3 linked regions of the Arabidopsis thaliana genome follow. The protein of the gene in region 2 interacts with the protein of the main gene of each other region in a biochemical or structural test. Each region holds a gene or a part of one and is shown on either strand. Other genes may lie near its edges.

Region 1 (10,313 bases), on a different chromosome or scaffold from region 2:
GATATCTTAAGTTTACTTGAAAAAAGTTTAACATTTAAGAGCATATGATTGTTTAACTCAAATAATGCTTATGATCGAATCGAATACCATGTTATCATTTACAAATTTTTAATTGAAATTGTTAATAATTGTGAATTATTTGAAATAAATTCGTTTGTTTGTATCTGGTTGATTACTTAGTGGCTATGTTTTATAGACACCATATGGAACCATATAACAAAACGGTGCTCAATTACTTATCTCACATGTTTATGAATTGATTTGTCTACCACAGTTTTTAACGTGATGAGTGAGGATGACCTACGTTTGGTTTTAGTGAAAGAACATAAATGAAAATGTTCCAATTGTTGACAAAATTTAACTCCTTCCATGATCTTTATGTTAAATTATCCTTTTGCATGCTTTATTACAACGATCATCTTTCTCTTTTCATCATATACGATTTTGGACTTCCATTATGATGCTAATCGAAATCATTTCTATGATCATATTTCTTTCGTCTAACATAATACATGACGAATTCACCGAGTACGACCATAGTAGTGTTTGTCTTGGGATTATTTTGTATATTAATTAATCTGGACATCTAAAAAGCCAGGCCCGAGCTTGTGAATAGCCCACGGCTCCAAGCCCATTATTAGCCAACAAACTGTATCTCGTTCCTTACTAAATATTCAATCTTTCTCAAATTCGAAGTGATAATCAATATTAACACTTTTTTTGGTTTTGTGAAAGGGTTTTCTAATCAATATTAACACTTTTGAATTACAGTTTATAAAACAATATCTTTAGATAAATTATTACATATAATTATAAGTTAAGATTAGGCATATTTGTTATCCAAATTTGATCTGTTATCCGACTCGTACACGTCTCAAAAAAATATTTGAAACCTTAGTATCGAATGAAGATAAAAAGTATTATAATTTTCTTATCTGCAAGTAAGTGTCAAATATCAGTATTAATTCTATTTTTTGTACCTGACCCATCACTCGCTTTATTCCCAAATTCGTAAATGTAGTTTTCATTAGTGTTTTATAATGTTACTTATATTTTTATAAATGTTTCCTTGGGTGAAAGTTAAAACCTAACTTCTAAAAACTGTTATTATTATTATCGATATATTTTAAACTTTGTAAATATTATGAATACATTTTTATTATTTATTATTAATTTTTTAATCTAAAAATCAAATTGATGCTCCAATAATATTTAGGTCCAAAATTCTAATAAAATTAACAAATAAAAAATAAGTCAATCAAATCAAAACAACTTGTCTAAAACATATATTAGGATTTGAAACTAGTCTTCTATGAAGTCTTCTCATTCTTGTCGGTTGCAATTTTTTTTCATTTTTCTCAGCTGCAAAATTGATCAAGCTTGTTGTTAATGTCTTCAATGGTGATCTTAATTGCATTTGTCGTCTTTTTTGGCTTCTGTGTGTGTCGCTTCCACTATATTAGTTGATTCTTTGTGAAGCATAAAATTCTTGCTATTCAATGTCGAGGCGGGGACACCGTGTTTGTATAAGTTCCACATATAAGGCATATGAGTCTTGAATCCTAAGACACCAACAAAGATGACAAATGGACCGATATGAAAACAAACTCTTCTCCCATTGCCCATCTCATCACACGACCCTCATGCCTCTTTGTTACAGTTACCAAATTTATTATTTATGTCGAATTGGTTGATTTAGTTAGAGTTGTGTGAAATTTTATATATCTACGGTATATTATATTATAGAATAAATTCTAGTCTCTTATACTAAAATAAAGTTATGATTTTTAATCCACGTAATTGTGGAATGAAATAATCAAATCTCAAATTTCCCAAATATTTAATAATAATAAAGGTTTGCAATATCCCTGCAATTAATTACTAATATATTGTTTCTTAAATGTTCTACATACTTTTTTTTGAACAAAAAATCTTCTATGATTTATCTCTAGTATAATCGCTGCAATTACATCACATTATTTTTTCGTAAATGTTCTATCATTATATATTTATACACTAATAAAGTTTGTTTTATATCTAACAAAAGATTCAAAGAAATTAGTTTTGGACAACAGTAAAAACAAATATGTGGGTTTGGTTAGGACCCAAAGGTCGTTTAATAGTGTTTGTGGCAGAAAAAGTAAAGTAAGATACTAGAATTTTAGGGTAACGCCGAACACAAAATCTAATCTAATGGGTCAAACACGAAAAGAATCTGCCTGCCACCATACACCTCTCAAAGATTTATTATCAATTGCCCACCAAACTCAACCAAAACAATTGTCTCAATTACCTATAAAAAAAACTTATTTAAAAAAAACAAAAGCTAGATTAAATACCCTTTTAGTACGTAAAATAAAGAAATTAGAAAAATATCACAAAAAAGACATCCAACAACACCACAATTTTTAGGTTTAAGAGACGTTTCGAAAACTTCTAAGTTCTAACAGCTTTTCCTAAACTTAAAATTTGTTTTCTGAAATTCTAAGAGTTTGGTAAATAATCCTGGAAAACATAAGATATAGCATACCCCTTATAACCTAATTACAAAAATTTAATTCAGAAAATATCAGAACCCAAGAACTTTAACAAGCTTTACCAATCTAAGATGACCATCTTGCAATTTTTTCCGATCTGGGCATTAATTTTGAAATTTTAAGATGTAAAATAAACAACCAAAAATCTTAATCTCTAATTAACCAAATCACTCACTGCTACAGAACTTGTTAAGATTCAATCCATGAACAGTTTACAAAACTAGCTTCATTTGTCTTTCTTCTAGCTTAATTCACGTGAACAAGAACTGATCTTTGAACAAAACTCATCAGAGCTCTAGAAGATGAAAAAAAGATTCTAGATTTTTTATTTAGAATCATGAGTGTTCCAAATGTATATGTTACAAAGATGGGGGTTGTTTGATCTATCTCAAGAAAAAAACGAAACCCAGATCTGCGTTTTTCTTACAGTAAAACAAACAGACACAACAGATCATCGTGTTCGGTCTTCTTCTTCTTGGTTTTGAAGATTTAGTAATAATAGTAAAATAATAATACTCTTACAATATCATCACAGAAGAAACACAGAACCAGCTCAAGCTCTCTCAAGCTCATCACCATCTTCTTCTTCTTCTTCGTTTCTTTGTCTTTCTATTTCTCCCGCATAGTAAAAATTATATGAGATCAACGAAACAGAAAATTTAAAAAAAAAAAAAAAAAGGATTTTGTTGTGTGTTTTCGATTAAAATCAAACCGATCACGGATCTGTGATTTTGATTTTGATTTTACCAATTCATTAGAGACGTAGATCGGTACAGTGAAGATCATCAGCGCCATTGAACAAGTCAACACAATCCAACGGTGGAAAATTAAGATCGAATTGAAACGGCGGATTCCGTCGCCGTGAAGACGATGCGATATCGTCGTCGTCGTCGATTACAGACGACGACGAATCGCAATCGCTGTGACAATCCTCCGGAACAACCGGTGGAGTTCTAGGATATCTCTTCGTCGTGGCCGGTTTCATCGTCGTAGGTCTGGGTCCGCTAAACGATTCAACGGTGCTGCTCATGCTGCTACTAGTAGGCCGGTTAACAATCGGGAACTGTTGTTGATGGTCGGTGAATAACCGGTGGTCCATAAACGGATCGACTTGGTTTTGATTTTGATTACGAATCTGATTAAATCGGAGATTAGGAGGAGGAGGAGAAGAAGAATCGATGGGGAAATTAGTTTTGGCTTTAGGACCACGGAGGTTACGAGCGGCGGAGTCGTAAGCGCGAGCAGCTTCTTCGGCGGAATCGAAAGTACCTAACCAAACACGAGCTTTTTTCCATGGATCACGGATCTCAGCTGCGAATCGTCCCCAAGGTCTCTTCCTTACGCCTCTGAATCTGATTTCTTTTACAGATCCGTTGATGGCGGCAACGACGGTAGGTCCGGCGACGGCGGAAGAGCCTCTTCCTCTCCTCATGATGGTGGATTTAAGAGAAAGCCAGAGGTAATGGTAATGGAGAAAGATCTAATAGAGATTGTTGAGAAAGAGAGAAAGAGAGAGGAAGATGAAGATGAGGGAGATGGTGGGAGGAATGGAGAAGATAGGAAACTCTCTCTTCAACACAAAAAGCTCTTCCTCTTCTTCTTTTCTTTTTTTTTCTTTTTTTTTTGTAATTTCAAAATGTTTTTAATAAATAAATTGTTTTTTTTGTTGTGATATTTTGAAATTTTTTAAGAATTTAAATTTGTAATATTTTGGTTGTAATAGTTTTTTTTTTTGTGCGCTCTCGAATGCTCTTCACGCCCGCCCCACAAGACCGACCAACTCGGTTTCTTATCATTTTGCTCTTTCTTTTCTTTTCGTTTTTTCTTCTTCTGTTTATTTGTTTTGATCAACCGATTTTAGAGATTACAAAACAAACCATTATTGTCAAGCTAAATTGGTGGTCAATAACCTTTTTTCTGTTCTCCTAGCCAAAATATTAGTCATGCAATTCCAAGATTAGCAAAAGAATAATAATAATAAGGGTAAGAATAAAATAAACTCATTTAAACTATTTTAGAAAATCGGTTATTTTGAAAAAAAAAAAATTTTGTTTTGTTGCAGATCAACACAAAATACCGTAGAAAGCAAAATTTTACTATAATGTTGTATTCGATTGTCATGCTTCTATGATTTATTTGTTTGACATTTTCTGATTGACACATTCTTACTCGACACTTGATTCCCTATTTTGAACATAAATTTCTCAACACTACAAAAATTATTGAAATTAAGATCATAATTGTTAAGGAAAGCATGAAAGGAGTCGAGTTGATAAAACTCTTTTTTTTTAACCCTTTGAATCATCTTATGTGATAATGTTATGTGATTCATTGATCTTAGGTTACAACTTCTCTAAACTGATTTTGTCAGTATTCGAAAACACAGCTCTAACGATACAATACTTTTGAATTACTTATTTCTAATAAAGAGATATTGTTAAAACTATTTGATTGTCTGTAAACGATTAAGTTCTTAATCGATGAAGAAGACATACTTGAAACGTGTATTCAAATAGAGGTTTGAGATTACTACTGGTTTGAATTTATTTTTTCAACAAATCATTTCATGTCAACCATAAATCTAGGAGTGGTGAATGACTTGATCTCTCAACAACTCTTATTTTTATGGTGTTGAGGAAGTGAATAAGAGCGAGTCTTCTGAGATGTAAAACAGAGCGACTTATTTTCTCACGCTCAATATTTGACTTTACAATTTCTCGTAGCTCTACCACGAATTGAACCAATCCATTAAGACCAAAGTTCTCATTTACACAATTCAATTTTATCAAGCCCACTTAACTTAAATAAAACTTGGTTCAACAGTCACAACTAACCATGCTTTAAATCTCAAATTAAGTTGCTAAAAAGAATTACCAAAATCTCGGCCAGCGGAAACATATAAACTGAAAATCAAGACTTTTAAAAATAGTTGTTTTGTCCATCATCGAGTAATAGTTTATGTCCCCGACTAAGGCAATAATAAAGATTGCTCGTCTAAAATGATTACGTGGATAATTTGGCTAAAAGGATTCTATCGATATAATTTTTTGATACTCAAACTTTTGTAGCAATGTCAAAGAATTTGTTTACTAACAGAACCAAACTCATATACGTTATGTTGCATTTCATTTGTGACATGATAACATATCGTGTGGTGTAGATTTTAAGGGTCCATATTACTCGTACGTACTATATTGACATTTTCGGAGTGTTATCTACTTGAAAATTTAAAAGTTGTTGAGCTTGTTAGATGTTTCATTGGTTAGAAGCTATTATTTCGTTTTTATAAACAAATTAAGAAAAACATATTGAGCCAGACAGTTTGCAGTTTATTCGATGCTCTATAAGTATCTCATTTTTGTTAAAATTTGGTTGAGCAAGGAAGCTATTTTCCTCTATAATTGTTGATAAAGAGATTCTTGCACTAAATAATCTATGGTTTTAGTGGATTCCAAAAATTGATATGGCAAGATGTAGGGAATCAAATCACTACTTTTATAAATATGAACTCATAATATCATGCGTATTCTTCGATTTTATTATTTCAGTGTTTTTGCTTGAGTTATCGCCATTCGAGAAATGTAAGTTTCAAAATGAGATTTTGAAAAATTTATTAAGTAAAGTTGAATTTTTAAACATTGGATTAAGTTCAACTGATTAACGGATTGGGCATCTTATTTTAGAACATGATTACAATCATCCAATGTGAACCAGATTCATTCTGTTTGTAAAATGCTATGTAGTTGGTTTGCAATAGATTTCTTTTAAAACCATTTCATATGTTCCATCCTTATCAACTATTCAACGTCTCTTTTTGTTTTTTGGCCCTATCAACTCCTGAAATGAGAACTGACAATCTAAGGACTTTACGAGTATACTACGAGCTTTTCTCGTTAGAAGCTTTAATTTAAAAACCCTAACATATTATACTGATATATCCTAAGATAAAATGATTATCTATTTATGTGATCGAGAGACTAAACTGTTGTAAAGATGATTAAAGTCCTATTATCTTCTTTGCGCACCTTCGTAACACTTTATAATTCAAATTAGTTATTTTTAAATTTAGGAATAATTTGAAGGTAGTTAGAACAAATTAGCAATTCAAATTCGAAACGCATCATCTCGATAACAAAAGAAAACAAACAAAGAGAATAAATAATTATTATTTTTCGAAAAAAGAAAAGGTGATATATAGAGAAAAAAAAAGAAAGAATGGTGTCTCGATAGGTGTGGTAAGAGGAGGAGACAAGGGAAAGAGATTGGCACTTGCTTCTCTGCTGCACTCTTCTTCTTCATTCCACCTCCCCCTAATTTTTTTATTATTCTTTTTTCTTTCTTTATACGCCACACCAAAAGACTCACAAATCTTATTATTTACTGAGAGTATTTTAGTAGTACTAAATCTAACAATAATAAACTTTCATAATATGATAATAGTCTAAATTTCTTAAAACCTTTCAATGTATTTTACGAAATTACAATACTAATTCAGAGTTTGATAGCAAAATAACAAAACCAAATTGTTACATTTTATGCAATTAAGTTGAGAAATTAATTAGTAATATTGTAGAATTGAGGAATTCTATAAATAAGTATATCGCGTAAAATAGTAAAAGCCATTATTAAATATAGAGATTATTGAAGTTTGCAAATTTATATCATTCTGTATTATTGTACAATTTAAAAATCAATATTCGACACTTTTAGTAGTCGTGTAGTATTTTTTTTTCCCATGTCAGCAAACATATTTTACTAATCAAAGTGAAAGAACACAAATTGTCGTGAAATCATTATTTTGTTACTCTACAAATTACTATTTAAAACATTATTGTTTGTTTCTATTTACAAAAGAGGTTAACATATACTTATTTTTTTGGTTCCATGAAATAAATGTGGTTGAAGTTAATAAAGAAAAGTCATGTTTAAGAGACGAGACATCACAGACGCGTTAACGAGTGGTGAAAAGTGGGACACAATAGAGTTTTTATTGATTCAGTTTGCTCCTTCCACGCTTTTTCATTTCTCTTTCGTCTTCCTAATGACATCTCCTCCTCAACTTTTTTTTATATTTCCCATCTTTCTATTTATTTATATAACAATTTTCTTAATATATTACTTCCAAGAAAACTCATATATCAAGGAGACTATTCAATTCATAGAATACATATTGTTAATGCAAAACTTTTATGTATAATGCAGTTACTGCTTAACCATTCAGAAAGAAATAAACTATTCTAGTAATGTTGGATACAGCACAACGTGTCACAGAACCGTTACATGTGTTATTACTAATTGATCTAGAACGATGACCTAAACTTTGATCAATTGTTAATAGGAAAACATTCACTTTTGCATAAGAACCAAAAACATCTTTAAACTAAACTTATCTTCCACGAGACCACGACCACATGGCACCATAGATATACATGTGTTGATACAATCCAATTTTTTTCTTCTTGTATGAATCGTAAAGGTATGTGTATATTCATTTGTATTTTTCATCCAATACTTTCAAATATATAGTCTATTATAAAAAAAGTTATAAACACAAATGACAAATAAATAAATTGAATAGCTTACATGTTAGAGTGTGGGTTCCACCAAACTAATTTCCAGTAAATTTAAACATTGAAAGATGTTGAACAAAAAGATAATAACATTGAAAGATAATAATGTGCTTATACTTTATACACACATCGAACTTAGTAGTTCACGAAAGGGACTCTTGTTTTAAGTGGTCAAAAAAGTTTATTTAAAAAAAAAAAATCAGTTCATTTATCTCAATGGTTTTGGGCCTTTGGCACATAGGTTACTATATAATCTAACTTGAATGAGATATATTTTATAAACAAATGGGCCTGATTACAAAAAAAAACTTATGGCCGAGATTCGTTACTTTACTCGGGTCGGAAAAAAATAAAAATTAAACCAGGACCGTTTAATTTTTTGTTAATTTTTTGTCCTGGTTGAATAGATATTGCATGGCTCGTTTCTGTCATTGTTGATGTAACTTTGAAAATACATCTTTGGGAATGGTCAATAAAGAATAAGTATAACAGTTGAGTTAAACCGATGCTAAACAATTAGTATTAGAGATTAGGCTATTGATCGAGTTTTGTCTACCAAAATAATGTAAAAGTAAAACCCAAAAAGAAAGAAAGAATGTAGGCCAAATATATCTTGCTCGAACAAGAGACCTTCAAAACAATTGCTCCAATCTAGAAACCAATCACACAAGTACATACGATGAAAATGTTGCTTAGTTATTTTATTATTGGACCTAACGAATTTTTAAAATCGAAATTCTCTAAGTCTCTAACGGAGGATCAGCCATGAAGATGACTAATTGGTTTCGACTCGTTTTAGATCTTATACGTAAACATGAAAGAAAAGCTAACATATCATCTTTATGTTGTCGGTTTGTGTTTGCTGTTTGCAATGGATAAGGAAGATAAATGAAAAGAAGGTTAAAAAGTTCGATGAACCTACGACATTTATAAATCCTATTCCTACCCATCATAGTGAAAAAAAACAAGTAAAGTAACATAAGATTAATTACAGCATGCATTATTTTCTATAAGATGCGTAAAACATAACTGTAAAATGTATAAATCCGCCTACATCATGTAATGTTGCTCGAAAATCATACATAATAATATCGGTTTTACGTTAATTTTAATTTTCGTAAAACCGAGTGAAGGATTAAACACACATATATTGACCATAACTATGAACCGACCATTTAACATTACAAATGACACCATACAAAATACCACGAAGCATTAACACAAACCACTCATATAACCAATTATTATCATTACAAAATAAAATTCATCGAAAAAATGAACTCTAACACACACAGAACAATGATAGTTAAACTCGAAGACTCGACCTCATCAGTATCTCACCACGTCACGCTTTATTATTCATCATCATGATCATCATAATTAAGTTTACTGTCCGGAGAAGGAGGAGGACGTGGCCGATGAAACTTGTGACGACGATGACGTTTTCCAGGCTGTGACGATGGAGCAGCATAACCACACATACCAAACTCACAAGGCGCACCGGATTCACACTCGTTCCCGCATTGTCCACAATTAGACGGATCAGTGTTCGTGTCCACACAATCTCCATCGCAGCACGACAATGCGAACCTACAACTCTTGAAACAGAACCGACAATGGTTTGGATCGGACAAGACATCAACGCATTGGTTACGACAACATCTCATTCGAGCCTCTGATGGTCCGGACCGTTTGCAAATCCATGGTTTACACATCGGTGGCTTTGGTCTACCCCAATTTGTTGTTGTAGCTGCTTTGATGTGGCTCTTAAGCCATGACGAGGTTGTGTTAAGTTGGTTATCGTGACCGAGAACATGATGAAGAAGTGAATTTAAGAGGAAGAAGATTAAGGCACACAATGTCAGCTTAATGCTCATCATTGAGATGACTTTGTGATGATGAGTTTAGTTATTTAGATCATTGATTGAGATGTCTAATTAATGAAGGGTTTATATAAGTTTGAAGAGAGAGAAAGATTTAGGGAGTGTTCATGATTTTCTTGCATGGATGATGATGTTATACAATGCATGTTACGTTCATCTTATTATTCATTAATATGACCCTTTAAAATTTATTAATCTTCTAATTAATTTATGTTTGGACCGCGAGGAGTACATTTATAGTAATAGTGTGAAGAAAAGAAAAGAAAAGGGTATCACATGGCAATGTAGTTGGAAGAACAAAAGTGGGTTAACAAAGCCCACAT
Region 2 (10,421 bases):
TTAGTCTCACCTGCCACGTTACTCTTTGATACCGAAGACCCTTCACCTTGCACGTAGTAATGTTGTTGAAACCTAATCCAAATACCAAACAAGTCTTATAATCATATCTTATTTCTATCCATTTATTTGTAAGGGCCGGGAAAAATGGTATATTCTTACCCTATTTGTAAAAAGGGTTCGGTGTTGCAATCCAATACATTAGGATGAGAAGGCTCTACCGGAAATTCAGAATTGTTTGGATCCCCGGCCACCGATGCCGCCGAGTTTGCCCATAAGTCTTGAAAGGTTTTGAAAGCATGGCCTTCCGTTTCAAACTATTGAAAATTTATGTTTAGTTAAGATCCAAATGTCATAATTAATTATATGAGAAGTTATAATATAATTTTGCGATGTCTAGAAATAAAAACCTTAATCTTGAGTTGTTTGTTTATGTCTCCTAGTTGCCTCTCCTGCCATTTCAAACATAGATTGATTGATATGCATATATGTTTTGCAGTTTGGTATGAAACATTTTTATATAACTTGCCTTTTTCCTAAGGTCTTCCATTTCTTCCATCATAACTTGTGTCTGCATATTTTAGTTGAATGTTTTAGTTATGAATATATTTTTAATGAAACAAGACCAGTCTAGATCATGTGACCTTGCGCTGTCGAGTCGCGGTAAGAGCGGCTTCGAGCTGCCTCTCGAGCGCTTGCAGTTCCTTCACACCCATTTCTCCAAGATCTTCTCCAAGCAAATTCCTTTTATAATTAGCAATTATCAACACCCATAACAATAGATTTGTAACTATACATATATAATGGAAGATGACAATAACGATTTAATTTCAAGGGGTTATAGAAAACTCTTAATTACTAGACCTGTTAGTACGAACAAGAGATTCGTATTTGGATTTAAGCTTTGTCACCTCCTGACACCAACTCTGCACCATATAGATTATATGAAATGCATATATATAGTAACATGAGAATTTGAGAAAATAGAGTTAGCTAGAATCATTATCATCAGAAACAATAATTGTAAATATATTCAAAGTACGTACACACACTTGCCTGTGTAGTCTCTTCAGGCTTATTATTGCTTAGAGAGCAGTTGTAACAACGATTATACCGTTCGATTGTGCTTTCAATTCTACAAATTCAATTAAAACAAAAATGGGAGATCATTAGCTCGATTCAACAAATAAAGATTCTTCTTACGACAAGAACTCAAGTTATATATCTTACACACTGATCTAAAAGGGAAAACCCTAGTTTGTTTGTTTTTTTTTTTTTTAAAGCTAGAATTAAACCCATTTGAAACCTGTCATCTGTAAGATTAAAGAATCAAAGGAATTCATGAATGGGAAATCAACAAATTATAACGTACGGAAGGACCTATTAGCTTATGATAAAGGATCCAAGAGGGAGACACGATATAACGATGAACCCTAATTACCACAGGATAAACGATACAACCATTAAGAATAACCACAAGATCAAAACATGATCCGACTCTTGAATCGTACGATGTAACAAGTAGCAAATGAACCCATTTATTAATCAATTTTCATATAAAAAACATAGCTTTATTGGATGAATCTTAATATATATAGCACAAAAGTTGGTTCAAAGGAGCAAAGATATATATACCCAACACTACCAAACTCGTAGAGCTTGCCACGGCTTGAGAAGATGATGAGAGCAACTTCGGCATCGCAAAGAACAGAAAGCTCATAAGCTTTCTTCAGCAAACCGTTTCTTCTTTTTGAGAAGGTCACTTGTCTATTAATCTTGTTCTCTATCCTCTTCATCTCCACTCTCCCTCTTCCCATCTTTCTCTCTCCTTCTCTTGATTCTGATTTCTTCTTCTTCTCAAGAATTGGTAACTTTTTTTCAAGAATAGATAAAAGGAATAAAGTATCGTACACGATAAATGTGTTGCTATATATATAAACTTGTATTACTTTCAATTCTTCTTGTTACAGGTTAATATGGTGCGTTATTACATAAATCCTTTTTAATTAATTATTAGTCGTCCTAAGTATGTGAAAGTGGCACCAACAAATGAGATATTTGTTGTTGAAGAAATTAAATATAAATATCGTCATATATTTGATGGAACAAAATGATAACTCTGTCTTCATCGTTATAGCTAGATTCCTAAAAATGGAAATCTACTTGTAACAGTCGGACCATTGAAAATTCCTTTTATTTTCTCTTTTTAATTATTAGGACTCTTTTCTTTTCTTTTTTGCTTTTTTTACATAGAGCGCGATGTTTCAAATTCAAACTAACTCATTTTGTTTCCAAATGTTATGGCTCATGTTCTTCTATAACTAGTTATTGTACCCTTTTCAAGCTATCCTAGCGTGTTCTTTTATTTGATGCTGCGCCAGCGGCAATAGCGGACTGAAACGACGTGTCATGAGAAGTAGTAGGTAAGTAAAACGACATTAAAGCTTGAAAATAACAATTTCGGATGAGTCGCCGATGATAGCCGATGAATTGCAATTGCATCAAATGAATCGCTGAAATTAAGCAGCGTCACGTCAATCTTCATCATCGTACATCTTTTGCGGCAGTTCTTCTCTAATCAATGTATTTTTTCTCGCCGCAGATCTGTTTTTCTTCTTTGTTGTCGCTGACGCTGCGTTCATTAAAAGAACACGCTAAATTAAATAGAAAATTTGGTTTTCTAATGCGGTGAAGGATTGATATATTATACTCGCAACCATGTATCTTGATTGAACCGTGATTCAATATGTTTGGTTAAAATGTCTACTTGATCTAAAATCGGACGAAGTAAACTACGTGCGAAATTAATGCTGATTGGTTTTACAAATTTGTGAACTTTTATTTGGTCAATGAAAAGGGGCAGAAAATTCATCATTGTTTTGAAGCTCTCGCAGAGCTGGTTAAATATAGTAAGATGTTGGGTTAGGTAAAATTGTCTTTAAAAATGTTTACCTCTGAAAATGATTGAAAAATGAGATATTTTCCTATATATATATATATATATGTATGTATTATTTACTTACAGTTTGATACATATATATGTATTCATTCATATATATATATGCAATCATTTACTTACAGTTTAATTGCTAATATCTGAATGATTATTTTTAATCAATTTTTTGATGTTTTTGTCCCTTGTTGTATCTGCATCATTTGATATGTTGACGATTCTTTCAACGTTATTCATCAAAACGGTAACTAATTAATTTTAGGTTTTAAACTTGGAAGTTAAATAGGGGACATTTCACTTTTTCTACAAATTTTTTCGACAGTTCAATGGAAAACGTCAAGTTAATTTTCGGCTAATGAGATATTGAAGCTCAATGGAGTTAATTAACAGATCATAAATGAAACACGTGTAAGGGAATCTGCTACTCTTTTGTATTGTAGGCCTTAACTTTTTTTATCGATCAGTCGGCGTGTCAGTGTCTTGTGGTCTTAAGGAAAAATATCCGAACCTCATCATCTCCACGAGTTAAATAGTATATATCCTTCTTCTTCGTACGAGGTTAAGACAACTAAAATCTTAAAAAATAAATTAAATACTTAAAATCAATGAATCGTTTCATATATATACATATATATATATATAATATTTATGTGCTTCGATTAATTAGTACATGTAACTATTTTACGAACGTTTAGTTATCGCCCATTTGCACATAAGTTTACAAACAAACATAGAATCATCACATTATATATTGTGCAAAATTCAAATACAAGATGATAAATCTTTACATCTTCAACTACAAACACGATATATGATATCAAGTTATCAACCAATCAAGAGCTGTAATCTAGTAGTTTTTTATTTTTTGTTAAAAAGTTGTAATCTAGTAGTTTCATTTTCATCTATCTTTTTACATTATAGAAAAATGAAAGTATAGAAAAATGAAAGCTTATCAAAAGTTAGTGGGCTACATCTACATTATATTAAAAAAATATATATATATATATATATATATATATATATATATATATATATCAATAACTAGATCGGACAGTGACCAAACCAATCTCGTTGTGTCCAATCCAAGAAAATAACAAAGGAAAGTCGTACGTTTGATGATATAAAAACCTTTTTATGTTTGGACGAGTTTCATAGAACATGGTGGACAAAATTATAGTACTATATACTATTTAGTATCTCCTTTTGAAAAACAGTAAGCCATGTAAATGAATTTGTACAATTAACAGCTATTTAAAAAGCAAAAAAAAAAACAGTGAATGTTTATTTACAAAGTTCCGAAGGGAAGAGGTTGTGGTAGTGGTTAGGGGCATGCCAAATACGGAAAGGGAGGCAAAGAAGATCGGGTAGTCTTCATAATTTCATACTTTTCACTTTGTAGTAATCTTTCCTTTTCTTTTTTAATTTCATCACCAATGTTTCTTTGTTCAAATTCATATCCACACACTCTTTTGGAAATGGCACTGCAGCTTCATGTGAGGTGTGGGGTCATTGCGCCTTATCGTCTGAAAATGTTACCCTCTTGACATTCAATGACCCCATTTTCTTATTTTCCATAATTTCTTTTACCATTTTACTATAACAAGAATGATGCAAAAGGAATAGGCAAAAAACAGCATATTATTTTTTAGTGGGATCCTAGTAGGTCACTTGAAGTCTCTATGCATTGATTATGGATTGCTATATTTGTCTCTCTTTTTATTTTTGAATTTCGAGTTAGTGATCTTCAATGTGTGTTTCAAATATAGATATTCAAAGGTTATAAACCAAGAAAAGAAAAAGTAGAAAAAAAATATATATATTTCAAATCTTTTAAACGGACCATTGGCAACAAAATCTATAAACGAGTTAGGCCCAAATTGTTGTACAAAAGGCCCATTAGGTTAAATAAGTATGGGCCTAAAGCGGTCCGATCAATCTCTGTGCCATTACCTTCTTCTTCGTCGTAGTGATTTCTCTCGAGAGAAAAAGAGAGATGGCTGAAGCAGCGAGAAGACAAGGTGGTGGGAGACCATTACCGCCACCTCCGAGAGGCGTTAACCAACAACCTCCTCGCCCTAAACCTGAACCTGTCGATCGTGAAAAGGTTTGTGTTCGATTTCATTATTCGCGAATCGTTGAATCATCATCCTTTAGGGTTTCCTTTTAGGGTTTTTATCTGTACTTATTGATTTCTTTATCTTTAACCTTCGAATCGCAGACATGTCCCCTTCTTCTTCGTGTTTTCACCAAGGTACTCTTCTTCACTGATTTTACTGAATGCAAGTTTAATCACTGGAGAACTGGCTATGTTTGTTTCTGAATTAGTCTGCAAATTAGGATTAATTGGGTAGGTTTGATTGCAGAGTGGTGGTCATCATACTAGTGAAGATTATGCTGTGAGAGGCAAAGAACCAAAGGATGAAGTTCAAATCTACACTTGGAAAGATGCCAGTCTTCGCGAGCTAACAGATTTGGTATGTCTTCTACCATTAAGATTTAGATTGGGTGCTTGAGACAACAATAAAGCAGCTTGCTTTGAGAACTTTTCTTGTGTAGTTTTGTTTTTACAAATATGACGGATTTTCAGCTAAAGGACTCACTTTGTTTTTACTGCTGAGGAGTGCTGATTAAAATTCACATTTTTGGGGGTTTTGTGTAACGTACAAAGGTGATGCTTCTCTCATAAGCACAATGTTAAATCACGTTTTCATTGCAGGTTAAAGAAGTTTCTGTAGCAGCTAGGAGAAGGAATGCTAGATTGTCTTTTGCGTTTGTTTATCCTAACAATAAAGGTGGCTATAATGTGAGAGAGGTAAGATTACGTTCTCTTCACAATCTTGATCAGATAAGTTGTCACCGTAGCCACGCATGATCATTGATGCATTCTAGAGTTTCTGTGTTTTCCCCTGCCACACCTCTTTGTCGCACATGTAGCTACCAGTATCATTCGGAGTTTTGTCAACAATGTTTCTCTTGTACATGTCTTTCGCTTATTGACAACTCATCTTCTCATGGTTATTGATTTTTGAAACTTCAGAGAGACCACATAATCATAGCTAGTTACTACAGAATGAAGTAATTTGATTGAATGGATGCTTTCAGATTCAATCGTTATGGCTTTACTTGTTCTCTTGTGATGTTTGCATATGTATTCAAGAACCCATGAGAAGAGTCTGATCTTGTGGTGTTGTTTCTGTTAATTGATAAAGGTTGGGGAGACGATGGCTTATCCAAACCGAAAACAACCAGATGACAGTAAAACGCTTTCCGAACTTCCGTTTGAGGTAAGTTTTTTACATGCATAGAAGATCATCTTGTATGATGATTATATAGTCTATAACATTAATTTTTCATATTCTGTTACCCAAGTAGCTATAACTGAAGTTGATCAATCTATCTGCAGATTGGAGATTATCTGGATGTGGCAATTTACTAGGAGGTTTCTGTTTCTTGTTAAGTGGGATTTGGGTGCGTGCACAATGGAAGAAGTACACATTCATATGGTTGTATCATCTTAAACTTCGTTTAGACATGTTTGTATTTTTTGGATCTAGTCTATGTACTAATGTCTAATGGTTTAGTATGTTATCCTGCTTTTTTTGTTTAACGTGTTTTCTTTTCTAAAGAACCAAAAAAAAGATGGAAGAACTCAAGCCATTTTATATACAAAAAGGTATAAATTTAGACTATCTATAGACTATAGCACATGAATATGTATTAAATTAAGATTTCAACCCAATTTACTTTTATTAGTAGAATTAATACTCGCACTTAACGTCGGAGAAGTAGCTGAGAAAAAGAAATCGTGAAAAAAATGAGAGAAGAGGATGAATTTAGACAACATTAATCATCAAAACTATAGTGATAAACATAGAAGAGTGGGCAATGCATTTCAAATATTCTCAAAAATAAAGATATAGTTATGGAATTATACAAAAGTTTAATAGCAAAATATGAACGTTGCGTTTACGATTCCCTATATTGTTCCAACGTTAAGTTTGATTAGACTTGAAAGTTGAAAGTATAATAAAATTTAAACGTTGAAACGGTAACATTTTATTACCGTTAGAAGATAATATTTTATTACAAAAATTCAGATAAATGGCTCTCTATAAATACTCCCATCTTGGGTCAGAAATCGGAATCCTCTTCATTGGTTCATATTTTACAAAATGTCGAGAAACAATCTGTTTTTATTTCTTAATTCTGGTTCTTCCACTTGAGTCAAGACCTCATTCAAACAAACATAAAGCATCATCCTTACAAGGTAAAATACTCTGGTCTAAATCCTCTAGTGTTTACCGTTAAATGGTTTTTTTTTTTTTCATTAAATGGTTCTTAGTAGTTTGTTCACCTGTTCTTCATCTTTTAGTCATCTTTTAGGGAGTTGAACATGAAATTCAATGTCTGTGTTGTAAATCCATTGTGTATGTATATGTATTGCTGGCTTAACTTCAATGATTAGGACAATAAACTGATTTTTAGCTATATTTGTTTCTTTCATAAACTGAGCATTTTAGTTAGATATATATATGTTCTGTCTAAAATGAATTTCATTTGCTGTGTTTTAAATCCATTTTTTGTGTATATGTATTGCTGGCTTAACTTCAACGACTAGGAAAATATTTTTAGCCATATTTGCTTCTATCATAAAACATTTTTAGTTATGTATCGGTTCTGTCTAAATGAAAACATAGAAAAAGGTTTTTATTTTATGAAAAAACAAAGATAGAATAGGTTGCCTATAAAATGCTTTTGATTTTTTTGTAAATAATATATGCATATACCAAAAATGATAAACGAAAAAAAAACGATTGTAATGGAATATTGATTTTCGTTAATTAATTTTGCAAGGGTTGATGAAGAAGGGAAAACAAAGCCTTTGGGACTCTATCCAGCGTGTTGCAATCAAGCTTTGCTAGCCTTTGTTGAATTTTACTAGATTGTGCATGTGGCAATCTAGTGATTTTGTATCTTTTTTCTTTCCTGATAAGATACATGGATGTGTATAAATGGGCGTATAGTGATGTGTAAGGTGCGTATAGATGAATGTATAGGCGTAGATGAATGTATAGATGCATGTATAGGCGTAGATGAATGTTTAGTGATGTGTAAGGTGTGCGCATAGATGAATGTATAGGCATAGATGTATGTATAGGCGTAGATGAATATGTAGGTGTAGATGGGCGTATTAGTAGAGTGTGTGAGCGTAGAACATTAGACAAACGAGGGACAAAAATGCGCAACGCGGGCCGTAGCCAAAGAAAAAACGCGAAGCTTAACAAAACACAAAAAAAAAACAGACGCCAAATCGCAAAGTCAAAGCGACATAGTCGAAACATGTAACAAATGGCAAAAACAAATAAAGCATAGTTGAAACTCTAACAAAGACAAGATTAATCCGTGTCGAAAGACAAAATTAATCTAAGTCGAAATTATCAAAAACACTTTAAAAATAAAAAACAACTGAAAAAGTTATTAAAGCGACTTCAAAATAACACTAAAATAATCGAAAGAGAAAATTAATAAGTCGAAATTATCAAAAACACTTTAAAAATAAAAAACAACTGAAAAAGTTATTAAAGCGACTTCAAAATAACACTAAAATAACATTAATATCCTTTAAAAACACCAACTTTCGAAATCTATTAGGTTACGGCTATAAGTCAGAATGTGCAATTGAATTACTTTCATGCAGACTTCGGCTACATTATCAAAAATCGAATAACTTTCGAGTCATGTTGAAAAATGTTTAGGATTTACGATGTGTCAATGAGAATTGGGAATTGGAAGTGTCAATGGGAATTCGAAAATTTAAACATGATCCAGAGTTCATGCAAAAATTTAAACCAGATCCAACAAAAAGTAGTAAACTGACTGATGATTTAGATTTAAATGTGACATTTTTCCCATACTCCTAACGATCGATAGCCAAAAACACAATTCCAACGTTCGCTAGTTGAAACGCCCAAAACTGAACGTCAAAATACAACTTGCTTACGTCATAATAACATTGAAGAAAAAATAAAACCAAAGGTGAAAAATAGAATGTCAGAATGTCACCTATCAAAATAACACGTTAAAATTTGCCTATGCACATAAGAAAAGCAATCGTTCGAAACACTGAAACTATGTAAATCAATCATACAACTGCCATGAAAGAGCGAAAAAAACAACCCAAATGTAGGACTCAAACTTTCCCAGCTTAACCTTGGCGATGAGACCCATCAAAGAACAGGAGTTAAAAGAGGTTTATTGGAGAAGAAAGCTTCAATATTCCCTACTACAACTTTCCCAAGTTCTTCAAGACCTTCCAATGTCATAAAAGCACTATGTGGAGAGAAAACAACATTATCCAATTCAAAAAGCTCCTTCGGAACATTAGGCTCATCTTCAAAAACATCCAAACCAGCACCACCAATCTCACCTTCTCTCAAACATCTCACCATTTCTTCCTCATCGATTATAGCCCCACGAGCCACGTTAACGATCACTCCTCGCTTTCCCAGAGCAGAAAGAACATCTTTATTAATCAAACGCAATGTCTTCTCATTCAATTCACAACAGATTATGAGTGCATCACTATTAGCTGCCATCTCCTCTATATCCATGTAATAGTGATATGGAACATCATATGGTTTTCTGTTTCTTGAGCTATATGAAATTTGGCAACCAAAGGCGTCGAGCCTTGTCGCTACTTTCGAGCCAATGCTTCCTAGTCCCACGATTCCGATTCGCTTTCTCCCCAACTGCAAATTAGAGGGAACCATTAACAATCATTTTTGTTGCTAATTTGATTTTTTCACAAGTTATGTTGCAAACCTTGGAACCGAGAGGATAATCGCCTTTGAGTGGCCAAAACCGTTGCTTAACGAACCGATTGGCGGCGGAGATGCGGCGGAAGACGTCGATGAGTAAACCGACGGCAGTATCTGCGACATCTTCCGAGAAGCTTGAGCCAGCGTTGGCGACGGAGATGCCTCGACGACGACACTCAACTAAGTCAACATGGTCAACGCCGGCGCTGGTAGTAACAACCAAGCGAAGATTAGGGAGGATGCGAATCAGATCGGCTGTGACCGGAGCAGCTACAGGGGCTATAATGGCGGAGATGGAGTCAGAGTGATAGGCCAAGAATTCAGGAAGAGGAAGCGGAGACTCGAAGGCTTTGAGGATCTCGAACTTGGTGGAGGCGACGAATCCGTCGCCTAACACAGCCATGGCGTCGGGACGTTTGACGATGAGGACACGTGGCAGTTTCTCGGTGGAAGAGCTCGTCGCCATCGTTGCGACTTGCGAGATTGATCTGTTTTGCATTATTATTAAAAAATTGTTTTCAAAATTATCTCACTTCTTTTTTCAAGTCACGCAAATAACACGACACGTTTAAGAAATCCACCCACATCACCATCATACAAAAATCTTCAAAACTAAGACCTTTCTTTTTGTTGGGTCACAAGCAAGATTTCAA
Region 3 (11,985 bases), on a different chromosome or scaffold from region 2:
TGTCAAGCTAGGTTCTTTCCAAGAGCAGACAAAATCAAAACTAAATCTGAGCATACTACCAATGAGCAATGAATACCCCTGCTCCACAGAAGTTAGGGAATTTAGAATATGTTTTCAATTTAAATATAGAGAACATAGTTATTTGATATCATGCCTTAATAGCAGCTGTAAGGACTTTATCCCCATTATATCCAACAGACTCTCTAACCGAAGACTTCCATGTCGTTGGAGAATCTTCAACAACAGCAGACTGCAAAAGTTTATACACGAGGATAGAGACCCTTTCCCAATATGCTGGCACTAAGGTTGGATAATTGAGAGCCACAGCTCGGAGGACCTGCGCGAAAACCATATAATTTTGGATCAAAACACAGGACAGGTAATGTAGCAGCTCTCATTATCAAAATCTGTACATAGGGATAAATGAAAGGGAAACAAAAAGTCAGCATATTCCTGAACCATGACCCAGTCTTACATAAGTTACTCCCTCAGCAAAAAAAATGTTAAAAAGTTTTCTTAATGTACTTACAGAGTTCAGACAGCACCATATGTACCTGAATTTATTCTGTGTCTATCCTTCTACTTTCATAAGAACTCCTTAGAAGGGAAATACTATAATAAGAACAACCTAATACCTGAAGAGCCTCAATGCATGTTGATGCGTCAGAAAATTGCTCAGCAAAACGAAATAAAGTAGAAAGAACTCCTGAATTCCATTCACATCCATTGAATCCTGAAATGACTTCAAACAAGCATGTCAAATATTATAATAAGATTCTGGTTAGGACAGTAGTCATAATGAACAGGCGCAAGATAAGGTCAACCTGCTGATGTCTCATCCAAAAGCATATTATGCACTTTCATTTGAGGAGGAAAGGTGGAAAATGCAGCTGACAGGCAACCTATTGCGGCAACCTGTATAAAACAGATCATGACATAGGTATGGCATTCACAGGACCAATATTTATAAAAGAAGCTAGAGTTCAGAGAAAATTTTATTCAGCAAGTTAAAAGCCTGAGTTCCCAGCTCAGTATAACCAACCATCAAATGTGGGAAGGCTTCGATAGAGTGGCGAAAATGATAATCATTGGGGAATGGTATTGGTGTGGGTTAGGTATTGGGTCCAGAGCTGAGAATCCTCTATTAGAAATAGTCTCAATACTGTCTTTGGTTTAATCAATGAAGAAAGATCTTTACTTGGTTCTTACCATACCTCTTCTTTTCCTCCGTGAATGAAAACTTAAGATTGTTTGGATTAGGAATTCAGCGAAAAGAAAGGCACTAGAAGTCTAGAACATATTTTATAGATTGGATAAGGACTGCAAAACATAAACAGAGACAAAAAATCTCCCAAACACGACTCTAGGCCCTTGTCTAATGCCTGTACCGTCCAGAGAAATCCCAAAAAAATTCTCCTCCTATTGCATCCCTCAGTCGACAAATTTCTATATGCGACTAAAATTAGTTTAAATCCTATGACTTTAGCTAATGGAAACTAGGATAGTCCAAGAATGAAAACCTAGATATGAAATGTAAAATCATATATCCATCATAAACGAAGACAGCTAACAGACAAAACAACATAAGGAAAAGGAAGCACTAACCAGCAGACCAGTTTTATCATTTTTGAAAGGAAAGCCCTCATTAATCCTAGCATGCAGAGACATTATAACTTTTGGCAGCAATTCTCCCGGCATTCTCGAGTAACTGAAAATGATAACAAACGTTAAAGAACACATGAAAATCTCATACAAAATCCAAAAGTAGTTGCAAATTTTAATAAGAAGATAACATTAGCTAAACGGAGCTGGGTCTACGCATGTATTCATGAAGCTTTCCTAATTCACTTACTCAAATGTAAATCTTAATCAAGAGCCATTATGGGTTTATAATAACGGATATCAAATACCTTTAAAAAGATACAATACTTTTACAATAAAACGAATATCATTTTAATCATGAGGAGCTAATAAAATAAAACACAGAAGAAATGTACGTACGGTGTGCTTGATATTAGAAGCAAGAGGATCTTGAACAGCTGAATCAACAATCTACCATGATTATCACTGTGAATCAAATGTAGAATGCCTACACCCATACGAAAGGCATAAAAATCTTGGTTAACAAGGAATAACTAATAGCCAGACAAGAAGAAAAAGGTTAAGACAATTAATGTCGTTGAAAACCTGTGTGGAGTTGCATTAATATTAGACCAAGGGAATTGGAGAGGGGCATAAATGATCCATATTTAGTAGATTCCTTGTACTCTGCCACTTGAAGGAAAATAGATGAAGGCCCATCCATCATGGTGGCAAGAGCTGACGCAGATGCAATCCTTACCTAGACATTGCAAGGTAAACAAAAAAGTATTGTCAGGATTCAGCAGTCATGAAGTTGAGCCACAAAAACATCTCTAGACATACTTGCTTAACCATAAAAGTTATTGGGAAGGTGAAAAATGAAGAACAGCATCGAAATATGTGCCTCAATTACTTGAAAAGGGACAAGAATAACCACCTTCAAATGAGGATCAAAAAGCAAGCAGGTCATTAGAGTAGCTTCAAACTTCCTGTTAATGATCTCGGAAAGTTAAGGAGACAAGAAAATACTACGGTATGGTGACAAAAGATGTTGTAGGTTAATTTTCCACCTTGGCTTGAGTACATCACTTGTTGGAAAGAGAGTCACCCACTGAGTGGTAAATGACTTTGAATCAGCCTGGCAAAGATCCTTAACAGGAAAAAAAGAAAATGAATAAGTAATTGTCACTGAAAAGTTAAGTAGAAGATGAGAACCAACTAAGAATAATACATTGTTACTCACCTGTATGCAAACAATTGCAGCTATTCTAACCTTGGAGCTTTGGGCAAAATAAGAATCCGGTACGGAGCCGTCACTGTCACTAAAATCGGAATCTGATGATATAACATCAGAACTACCAGAATCATGAGCAGATAGGCGCCGCCAGCTTGAAGACACTGGCTGCCTAGTGTTCAAATCATCCCTCTTGCGCAAGTGGGGTGGCCTATAAGGAGTATTCTTGGCATTCTTACTTACTCCAGAAATCAATGGAGAAAGCTTGACATTCAAATGCTTATCGTTGTGAACAACATCAGAAACTGATAACTGAGGTGGGCCAGTAAGTCCAAAACAGAAAAACATTCTCAATGACGCTATGAAACTTAAGACCTGCAACATTTAAAAAATCTGCTTAAACAAAGGAAAAAAGTCTGATATGGAGGTTAAACCAGAAAATCACTTATCCAAGGCTAAGAGGAGGAGCAAAGGGTATCAAGAACCCACTTACGTGATCAGAAACAGGACATTTGATATTTGTAAGGACCTCGTGCACACAGCCTAGAAGGCATGAATAAAAGCTGTAGAAAATTAAGAAATGAATATTACCTAAGAGGGCAACAAGTCTAATAGAACCCAGAAAAAAAGGAGTAAATTGTAGTCTCCACAAAACCAAAGGCATATACCTCCACATGAATCGGTCTTCGACAAGCTGGCCCTTAGATGCTAATACGTCCATTACTTTCCTTAGAACCTATATGAGAATTCACCAAGTTGAGAAACAAAGCATATGAGAGAAATGAGAGGATCGATCAGTGAAGGGGAAGATTACCTCTAGCGTGCATTGGGAGACGTCAGTAGGAAACAAAGACTCAGATAGAGAAAATGCTCTACCAAACATGTCAAAGGCAAGAGCCATGGAATCCCATAAGCGATTCTGTTGAGGCAGTTTCTTTTCCACAAGTAAAGTAGGAGAAGGGTCTTGATTTGAGAAACCATAGGATAAAACTAAATCCTGGTGTAATAAAGGAACTACGCGCACAAGAAACTTGACTAGATGAATGTTCTCCGGATGCATAGGGGCCAAACGTCTGGGAAAAGGAAGAGGAGATTACGAATAAGGTTTAAACAATGTCAGCAAGATTGTGAGAAGATATATAATAACCTTAAAGTCTCGAAGCATTGGATCACAGGTTCGATTCTGGAGAAATAGGCAGCGGAATAAGGTGAAGAAGGCATGGGTTGGCGAAGAAGAAACTCCAAGACAGAAGCAAAAGAGTGAAGAAGGAGCGGCCATGACGAAGAATTTAGTTGGAAAAGTAGACGAGCACAAACATCGTGAATCTGGATTAATAAAAAGGAGGAGAGATCCCATTAATAACAAGGAAATGATGGGAGGAGAGAAGGAGAAGACGCACCAGTTGACAAGTATGACGAGAGACAGGGATCCAGTCAGGACCATCAGCTTTGGAAACCAAATCGAGCAGGAACAAGCAATCGGAAGTGAGCTCGTGCAGTGGGAGGTGAGAGACGGCAGAGATAAGGGAATGGGATTGAGAGAAGAGTAGATCCTCGAGCAACAGAGGAACCGGCGGCGGTGGAGTGGTTGAGATTTCGTCCCTGAGAGAGAGAAACGCCGTCCGCCACCTTCCCACGCTTGACGAAGCTGCCGCCGTGAACATGTTTCAGTCTCCCGGGAAAAAACTAAGCAATCAAAAACGAGAACGACGAGAGACAGACAGAGAGACGCTTAATAGTCTTAAAGGGATTTACATTTTTTTAATTTAGAGTTAGAAATCAATTGTGTTACAGGAAAACATCTTCTCCACCCACTTCACTAGTTGATGATGTTCATTGCTGCGTTTAGCACATCAATTCTTTATTTTTTTGGGGTGGGCAGACGCAGATCTCTTCGGCCCAATCAATAAATATATAGCAAAAGGAATAGCTCGTCTTGTCATATCATATCATCATTCAGACATGCAACGAATAAATACATATCCGTGCTCAATCCTCTAAAACAGAGGAGTGCTTACAACAACAACAACTCCAGAAACTTAACTAGCAACATTTGATAGACAGAAAAAGTAGCAAGAAATTAGAAGCTCCGAGTCTTATGTTTTAGGAGGAAACGCCTGCTCCGCCCCACCCTTGTTTGTTCCTTCCTCTTCCATTTTCACACTTGCTTCCTCCACTCCCACTGGGTTTACTCCTGTAACCTGCAATCAAAACTAACCACTTTAGAAAACCACCATTCCCACCCTTTTCAGCCCTGTCCACTGCTTCATTTTACCTTAGTGCTTCCACTCTCATCCACCTCCACCTCACAACCTTTTCCACGCTCCATAATTCCTTTCAGTCCATCCTGCACGAACAACATGCCATGATAAATAAATTAATCTCGGAAGAAAAGGAGACGGCTTTAGGAATTGAGAGGCAGAGATGATTCAGCTCAGCTTGGCTAGACGGTCACACTATCTAATCAGGTCAATTGTTGGAGCTGGGAGCATACTAAATAAATAGCCTAGGCTAAATGATTTAACCGTAGCTAAAGATTCGCTACCCTCATGTGAATGTATCTCCAGCTTAAACTAACTGACTTAATGTCAGAATGAGACTCATTCTGGAATCTTTAGGTTTTGGGTCTCGGGATGAGAAAAAGTGTAATGTTATCAGAGCACATTGTGCTGTTCTGGAAAATGCTGTAAACCTAGATGAACTAATGACTTCAAATGTTTGTACCAGAAAAAGTGTCTGAGAAATCGAAACAATTAAGAGATAATGCTGTAGTACCTTGTCCTTTGTATCTGGTTCAACAGCTTCTCTTTTTACTCTGCTTGGTATAGGTTTACTGCACAATGCGATCCCACATTAAGTAAACATTACACCGCTGACTCGAACCAAAAATAAAAAGGGGAGGAAACATATATATTTCATACCGGTCATCATCAACATCCATGTCTGAATCCGGATCCCATCTTTTATCCCCATCTTCTTGGTCTTCATCAACCTATAATTTACATAGAAGGCATATTTTACAAAACTAAGATTGGTAACAACCAGAGTCATCAATCAAGGAATACTTATACATATCTAACTGGACGAACATTATTTACCAGCCCAGCTGTTTAAATTAGAAAATTCTTATTGTAACTGCAGTTACACTTAGATAAGCTCACCAAAACCCATGAGGAAATGCAAGAAAGAATGGGCAACAGAAATAAAGGAGCCAACACACTTCAAATGATTTGCTCAAGTGGCATACCTCGGGAGTCTCTGTATCAGGTGGTCTTTCCTGAAATGGTACACTTGGAGCATGCTGAAGCTTAGAGAGATTGTGGAGAAGGTCATTGCGAATCTCTTCAAGCATCTGACGAGAATTCTTATTTTCCATGTTACTTGGAGCAACGTGAAGTGTATAGTCTGGACCAAAGTATTCATAATATTCATGCTCCGGCATCTTGTCTTCAACTTCAACTCCAAGTGCAACTCCAGTCTGTCATATAAACAGTTTGTTGTAATAAATTCAAAGAAAGAGAGGCGTCACAGAGGGCTAACCTTGGTACAGAGACCAAGGAAATTTCAATGCAAAGCTAGAGCAGCATAAAATGAACAGAAGAAAGTACCTCGTAGCACCAGCAACGGGCAACATTGCGGATAGTGTAACCACCACCACCCAAGAGCAGTAGGGGAACATTGAACGATCTCATAAATTTGACGCACTCAGCATGACCTTTGATTGAAAGATTAAAGCACCCCAACCTATCACCAGACAATGAATCAGCACCACATTGCAATACCACAGCCCCTGGTCGGAAAATTTCCATAACTTTCCCCATGATGGGCTTGAATAACAGATGATAGCTCTCATCATCGATTCCATCATCCAGTGGTACATTGAGAGAATAGTACTTTCCGCTACCATAACCTATATCCTGAATGTGACCTGTACCGGGAAAGTAATCACCAAATTTATGAAACGAGACAGTCATAACCCTGTCAGTAGCATAAAATGCCTCCTCCACTCCATCCCCGTGGTGGATATCAATATCGACATAAAGAACACGCTGCAAACGAGAGAGGAAGAGTTAGAGATTCAGAAACGACATAACCATCCCTAGCATATATCAAAACGGTGCAGGTGGACAAACCTCATGCTGCTTAAGGAGCTCTAGGATAGCTAAGACGATATCATTGACGTAACAGAAGCCAGAGGCCTCGCACTTCTTAGCGTGATGGAGACCACCAGCCCAGTTGATGGCAATATCGCAGAGGCCGTGGTTAAGCTTGACAGAGCCACCAACAGATCCTCCAGCATAGGTCTGGCAAAAGGAATAAAGGCCGTCAAAGACGGGACAGTCTTCACCAACATTGAAGCGCTTAAGTTGGCGAATCTGATCTTGCTGGGTTTCAGGGGTAATGCTGCGGAGAAAAGAGACATAGTCGTCGGCGTGGAAGCGGCAGAGATCACGGTCGCGGGCAGGGAAGGGCTTGAGAACCTGCATATGCTGAAGGAGACCGTAGTGAGCGAGGAGGGCATGGGTCATGCGGATGCGATGGGGCTTCATGGGATGACCTTGGCCATAGTAGTAATTGCCGACCTCAGGGTCATAGAAATAACAAACTTTCCTCTTCACACCATCAGGTCCGGACGCCAGCGAATTGCCGCCAGTATCCATTACCTCTGCACGCACGCCGATCCATAAAAATTATATTATTAAAAAATGATAACTAAACCCTAGCCGCGGAGTAGCTGAGCCATGGACGCGTTTGAATGACAACAACAACATTTTTTTAAGTTACGAAAAAATCAAATCTAGTGTGCAGAAGAGACAGGAAGGCGAGTGAAAGATATTAAAAGACGGCGAGGCTAGACAGACGCCGGAAAATGGAATCACGCAGACAAGGAAGAGAGTCTGACTGACCTTTTTCGTAGGATCAACGGTGTGTTGTAATCACAGTCGCAGTCAAATGGTCGGAGGAGAAGCTGCGATGATCTCTCTCTCTCTCTCTGGCTTTCTTCTTCCTTCCTCCTCGCCGAGGGGAAGGGAGCTGCTCTCTGCTTTGCTTTCAGATTTTCTTTCACCTCTGACTGAAACTGTAGCCTACTTACTCTTCTCTTCCAACTTTTTCTACTTTCAGTTTATAATGGAAAGGCCCACTTTTAATCTGTTATGGTTTAAAATGAGGCCCACTTTTAATGTGTTTTAAAAATAAGGCCTATTAAGTTGCCTTTAGCCCGTTTACTTAATGGTCTTACGCAGAGTAACAAATCAATTAGGAAACAGAGCACTAGAGCAGCAGTAGGCACTAGGCAAGGCTGGTAAAACTAAACTCGTGCTGCTTTTGTCTCTGTTTAGTACAGTATATCATAAAACTGAGTAATCCACAAAATCTTGATTGAAAAGGAGATGGAGACAATATGTGCTTGGAAACTAAGACAAAATACATGTTAAATAAAGAATGGGTGTGTTAACAAGGAAGCTAGGCTACAAGTATCCAAGTAGATGGAGAAAGATACAGAAAAAGAAGAAGATAGAGAGATACAAGGTGGAAGAGGAGTGTGCATTATTGACATTTTGTGTAGGAGGAGTTGGAGCCAATACAAATGATCTGCAGAGAGGGCAAGTGAGGTGGCCACGGAGAAGCCAAGGTTCTATGCAATTGATATGGAAGAGATGAGCGCATCTGGGAAGATGGGTCACCGCATCCTCAGCCTCAAACTCCACCAGGCATATGGGGCAGCAAATTTCCTCCTCCTTTTCCTTGTCCCCAAACATCACTCCCACTAGGTTGTAACCGTCATCATCATGCGCATCCGCATCTCCACCATTCTTCTTCAACCTCCCCAAGGGAATGCACACACATGTGTAGAATACTATGGCTGCTGTGCACAAAGGCGACCGCGGAAACAACATTGAAATCATCTTTCTCCAGCTTTCTGCTTCTTTACCTCATTCCTTCCCTCTCTTTTATAGACTAATATCATCGAGTAGGGACGGCGCCGACCCCACCTCCCATCTCTTATTATATTCTTTTGTTGTTTTTCTTTAATCAAGTCAGCGATTCTCCCAACTCCAAGAAAACTCTTGGAGAGGTTATGGTCAACATACGAGATGCACATGCTTCCATCTTAAGCACTACCTGATACTTGCATTTAACAATAGTAAACAATACAAGAATCACATGACGCCAAAAGTAAACAAACAAAAGATGGCATTCATATCCAGTGTATTATTTATATATATATTAAAAGTAAGGAGTCATTCTTCCATCAAGACAGGCCTTGACTTCCGAGTTCACGAATATAATACAGCCGACCAAATCAAGTAAAGATCTCCGAGTGAATCATAAAAACTATTTTAATGTTGACTCCACGCATTTTGTATTCAATATAGCGCCAGCTTCTACAGAACAGACCTCCACGTCCCTGAGATCAGCAGTGCCTTTGGAGGATGATGTAGTTTTATGCCTGGTGTATGTAACCAATGATACTATTGTTCATATTTGTTCATGAAGTCGGCCACATTTGCAATAGACAGTCACATACATCATTGGTAATGACTGATAAGCGTCAAGCATAATTTGACACCCTATACCGCCAACACAACGCTATTCATTGAACTTGCAATCAATATTAGAATGCATGAAAACAGGGAACTACATCTACAACTACACATTTTTAAAGGACATAGGAAAAAAAAAAAAACTCGATACCTGACTCCAAGCAGAAAAAGGAAGACTCATATTGATTTTCACTTTCAAGGTTGTTATTACAAGTCAAGAAAACATCTTACTGAGACGGCATACTTAACAGCACTGCGTAAGTAAATCAGAAGGGTTTCTCGGTTGGTTTCTTCTTGAAGATGGCTTCCCAAGCCAAAGACGGAAATGGAGCCCTTTTATCCATGAACTCCTTGACAGCCTTAACATTAACGGCAAATCCTTTTTGGTTTAAGGTATCAATAGCGGACTGGGCTTGTTCAACCCCCTTTACTCTGCACAAGGCATCAACCAATTCAACGAAAGTGGGGACGTTAGGAGAGTGACCAGACTCAAGCATCTCACTACAGAAAGCAACAGCATCGTCAAGCATGTTGCAATTATACAATCCCTGAACCAACACACCGTAGCTGAAGGCATTAGGGGCAATCCCATTGTTCTGCATTTTCCTGAAAATCCTCTTAGCGTCTTCAATTTTATGAGCCTTGCAAAAGGCCTCAACGACAGCAGTGTAGATAACGACCTCAGGGATTGTACCCTTGTCACGCATCAATCCGAAAAGCTTCATGGCCTCTTGTACAAGCCCATCTTTGCAGAGGCCGTCAAGCATGGCGACGGCGTTAGGGATGAGACCTCCTTCCTTCATCTTCTTGAAGATCTCATCGGAATCCTCAGGCGGCGGTAAGGGCTCCTGCGGGTATTGTTCCGGTTTGGGGGTTTCCCGTGAATCCTGATTGACTCCAAGCTTGAACTGTTCGAGGAAGCCATCGTCAGACAGAGTAGTATCACTCTTTCCAAGGTTGTGGGCTTGTCTAGCGGGTGGTTCTCTGTGAGAGTTGGAAGATCTCTCCCCTCGCAAGGGTCTGTTGGGTAAGGGCTCTGGAGGGTTCTGCTGCTCGTCTACTTGACCATTGTCGCCCGTTGAGAGAAAGCGTGTTGCGGACATCGACGGCGTCGTAACACGAATCTGCTTCGCCATCTGCCTTGCAAAAACGACGGCTTTGGAGGAAGGCACCATCGTTATCTGCCGCTGATTCGAAAAGTTAGGGTTTTGCAGATTTTGACGGAGAGAGAAGAAGGGGAGGGTTTAGTCACGCGAGAAGGATTGAGGGATATAACAGTCATTTACTCTACAGGGGGTATAAGAAAGAAAGAAGGTCCTCACTCCTCCGTGTGGATAAGCTTCTCACTTTCAGTTCAATTGGATAGCCGGAAAGGCTCTCCTCCAAGGTAAATTCCTCTCTACTTCCTTGTTAAAGCTCGAATCATCTCTAAGTTAAGCAAAATTGGTGTGTTGTAGTGGCGTTTATATGGAGGTGACAAATACGAGCAGCATCATGTGGTTCTTCAGGGACAAAGGTTTCGATGATCCGAGTATCGACAAGATGTTGAGAAAATGCAAACAGTTGGAAAAGGCTCAAAGCGATGTGGCATCAGAAAACTGGGACTACCTGAGTAACATTGTTGGTATCCAAGAGAGAAAACTCCCTTACATCGTCTCTCGATGCCCCAAAATCCTGACTTTACGCCTCGATGAGAGACTCATCCCGATGGTCGAGTGCCTCTCCAGTCTTGGAAGGAATCCTCGGGAAGTTGCTTCCGCCATTACCAAATTTCCTCCAATACTCTCTCATAGCGTGGAGGAGAAACTCTGTCCCCTTCTTGCTTTCTTTCAAGCGTTAGGTGTGCCTGAGACTCAACTTGGCAAAATGATACTTTTTAACCCAAGGCTTATCAGCTACAGCATCGACACCAAGCTGACAGTGATCGTCAGCTTTCTTGCTAGCCTTGGCCTTGATCAAGATGGGATGATTGGCAAAGTTCTGGTGAAGAACCCATTTCTTATGGGGTACAGTGTTGATAAAAGGTTACGGCCTACCACTGAATTCTTGAAATCATCCGTTGGCCTGAGTGAGGATGGCATTAAGTCGGTGGTCATGAATTTCCCACAACTTTTGTGCAGAGACGTTAACAAGATTCTCAAACCAAATTATGATTATTTGAAGGAGTGTGGGTTTGGAGATTCCCAGATAGCAACCATGGTCACTGGTTATCCCCAAATCTTGATTAAGAGTGTTAAGAATTCACTACAGCCTAGGATCAGATTCCTCGTCCAGGTGATGGGAAGAGGCATGGATGAAGTGGCTTCTTATCCTGAATTCTTTCACCATGGATTGAAGAAGAAGGTCGAATCGAGGTTTAAACTTGTCAAAAAGAACAACATTGACTGCAGCCTTAGAGAAATGCTGGACTGTAACACAAAGAAATTCCATGAGAAGTTTGGCTTTTCGGAGGTAACTGCAAGCTTCTAGCTTTTATATCTCTCTCTAGTTTTTTCCTTCATCAGGCTCTCTCTGTAAGCTGTTTTCAGCTTGTGCACCAATTTCTAGCACGAGCTTTTCCTTGAGTGATTGTGATATCAATAGAGTGTTTTCTTCCAGATATCATCGATTATTCACTATGCA

What was found.
Region 1: the proteins of SAP18 (region 2) and ERF3 form a complex in vitro, tested with the Arabidopsis thaliana proteins (one study listed by BioGRID).
Region 3: the proteins of SAP18 (region 2) and HD1 form a complex in vitro, tested with the Arabidopsis thaliana proteins (one study listed by BioGRID).

Annotation. Positions count from the first base shown.
Region 1 is NC_003070.9:18,754,311-18,764,623, forward strand, and holds ERF3 (ethylene responsive element binding factor 3), read right to left. Parts: upstream 4,399-10,313; 5' UTR 3,970-4,398; coding exon 3,292-3,969; 3' UTR 2,662-3,291; downstream 1-2,661. Other genes in the region: AT1G50650 (Stigma-specific Stig1 family protein), read right to left, coding at 9,463-9,987.
Region 2 is NC_003071.7:18,795,846-18,806,266, reverse strand, and holds SAP18 (SIN3 associated polypeptide P18), read left to right. Parts: upstream 1-4,883; 5' UTR 4,884-4,943; coding exon 4,944-5,054; intron 5,055-5,168; coding exon 5,169-5,201; intron 5,202-5,313; coding exon 5,314-5,424; intron 5,425-5,666; coding exon 5,667-5,762; intron 5,763-6,159; coding exon 6,160-6,234; intron 6,235-6,353; coding exon 6,354-6,386; 3' UTR 6,387-6,739; downstream 6,740-10,421. Other genes in the region: AGL6 (AGAMOUS-like 6), read right to left, coding at 1-72, 160-314, 408-449, 527-568, 642-741, 862-923, 1,054-1,132, 1,633-1,814; AT2G45630 (D-isomer specific 2-hydroxyacid dehydrogenase family protein), read right to left, coding at 9,178-9,699, 9,773-10,267. UniProt on the Arabidopsis thaliana protein: Links the histone deacetylase complex to transcriptional repressors bound to chromatin. Involved in the tethering of the SIN3 complex to core histone proteins.
Region 3 is NC_003075.7:17,891,582-17,903,566, forward strand, and holds HD1 (histone deacetylase 1), read right to left. Parts: upstream 7,929-11,985; 5' UTR 7,723-7,928; intron 7,482-7,722; 5' UTR 7,477-7,481; coding exon 6,949-7,476; intron 6,865-6,948; coding exon 6,424-6,864; intron 6,294-6,423; coding exon 6,063-6,293; intron 5,808-6,062; coding exon 5,737-5,807; intron 5,649-5,736; coding exon 5,591-5,648; intron 5,163-5,590; coding exon 5,091-5,162; coding exon of another isoform or gene 5,082-5,090; exon of another isoform or gene 5,017-5,081; coding exon 4,912-5,016; 3' UTR 4,697-4,911; downstream 1-4,696. Other genes in the region: AT4G38120 (ARM repeat superfamily protein), read right to left, coding at 155-337, 636-733, 825-915, 1,606-1,708, 2,002-2,089, 2,188-2,341, 2,519-2,570, 2,652-2,731 and 6 more; AT4G38140 (RING/U-box superfamily protein), read right to left, coding at 8,287-8,724; AT4G38150 (Pentatricopeptide repeat (PPR) superfamily protein), read right to left, coding at 9,630-10,538; pde191 (Mitochondrial transcription termination factor family protein), read left to right, coding at 10,831-11,814. UniProt on the Arabidopsis thaliana protein: Responsible for the deacetylation of lysine residues on the N-terminal part of the core histones (H2A, H2B, H3 and H4).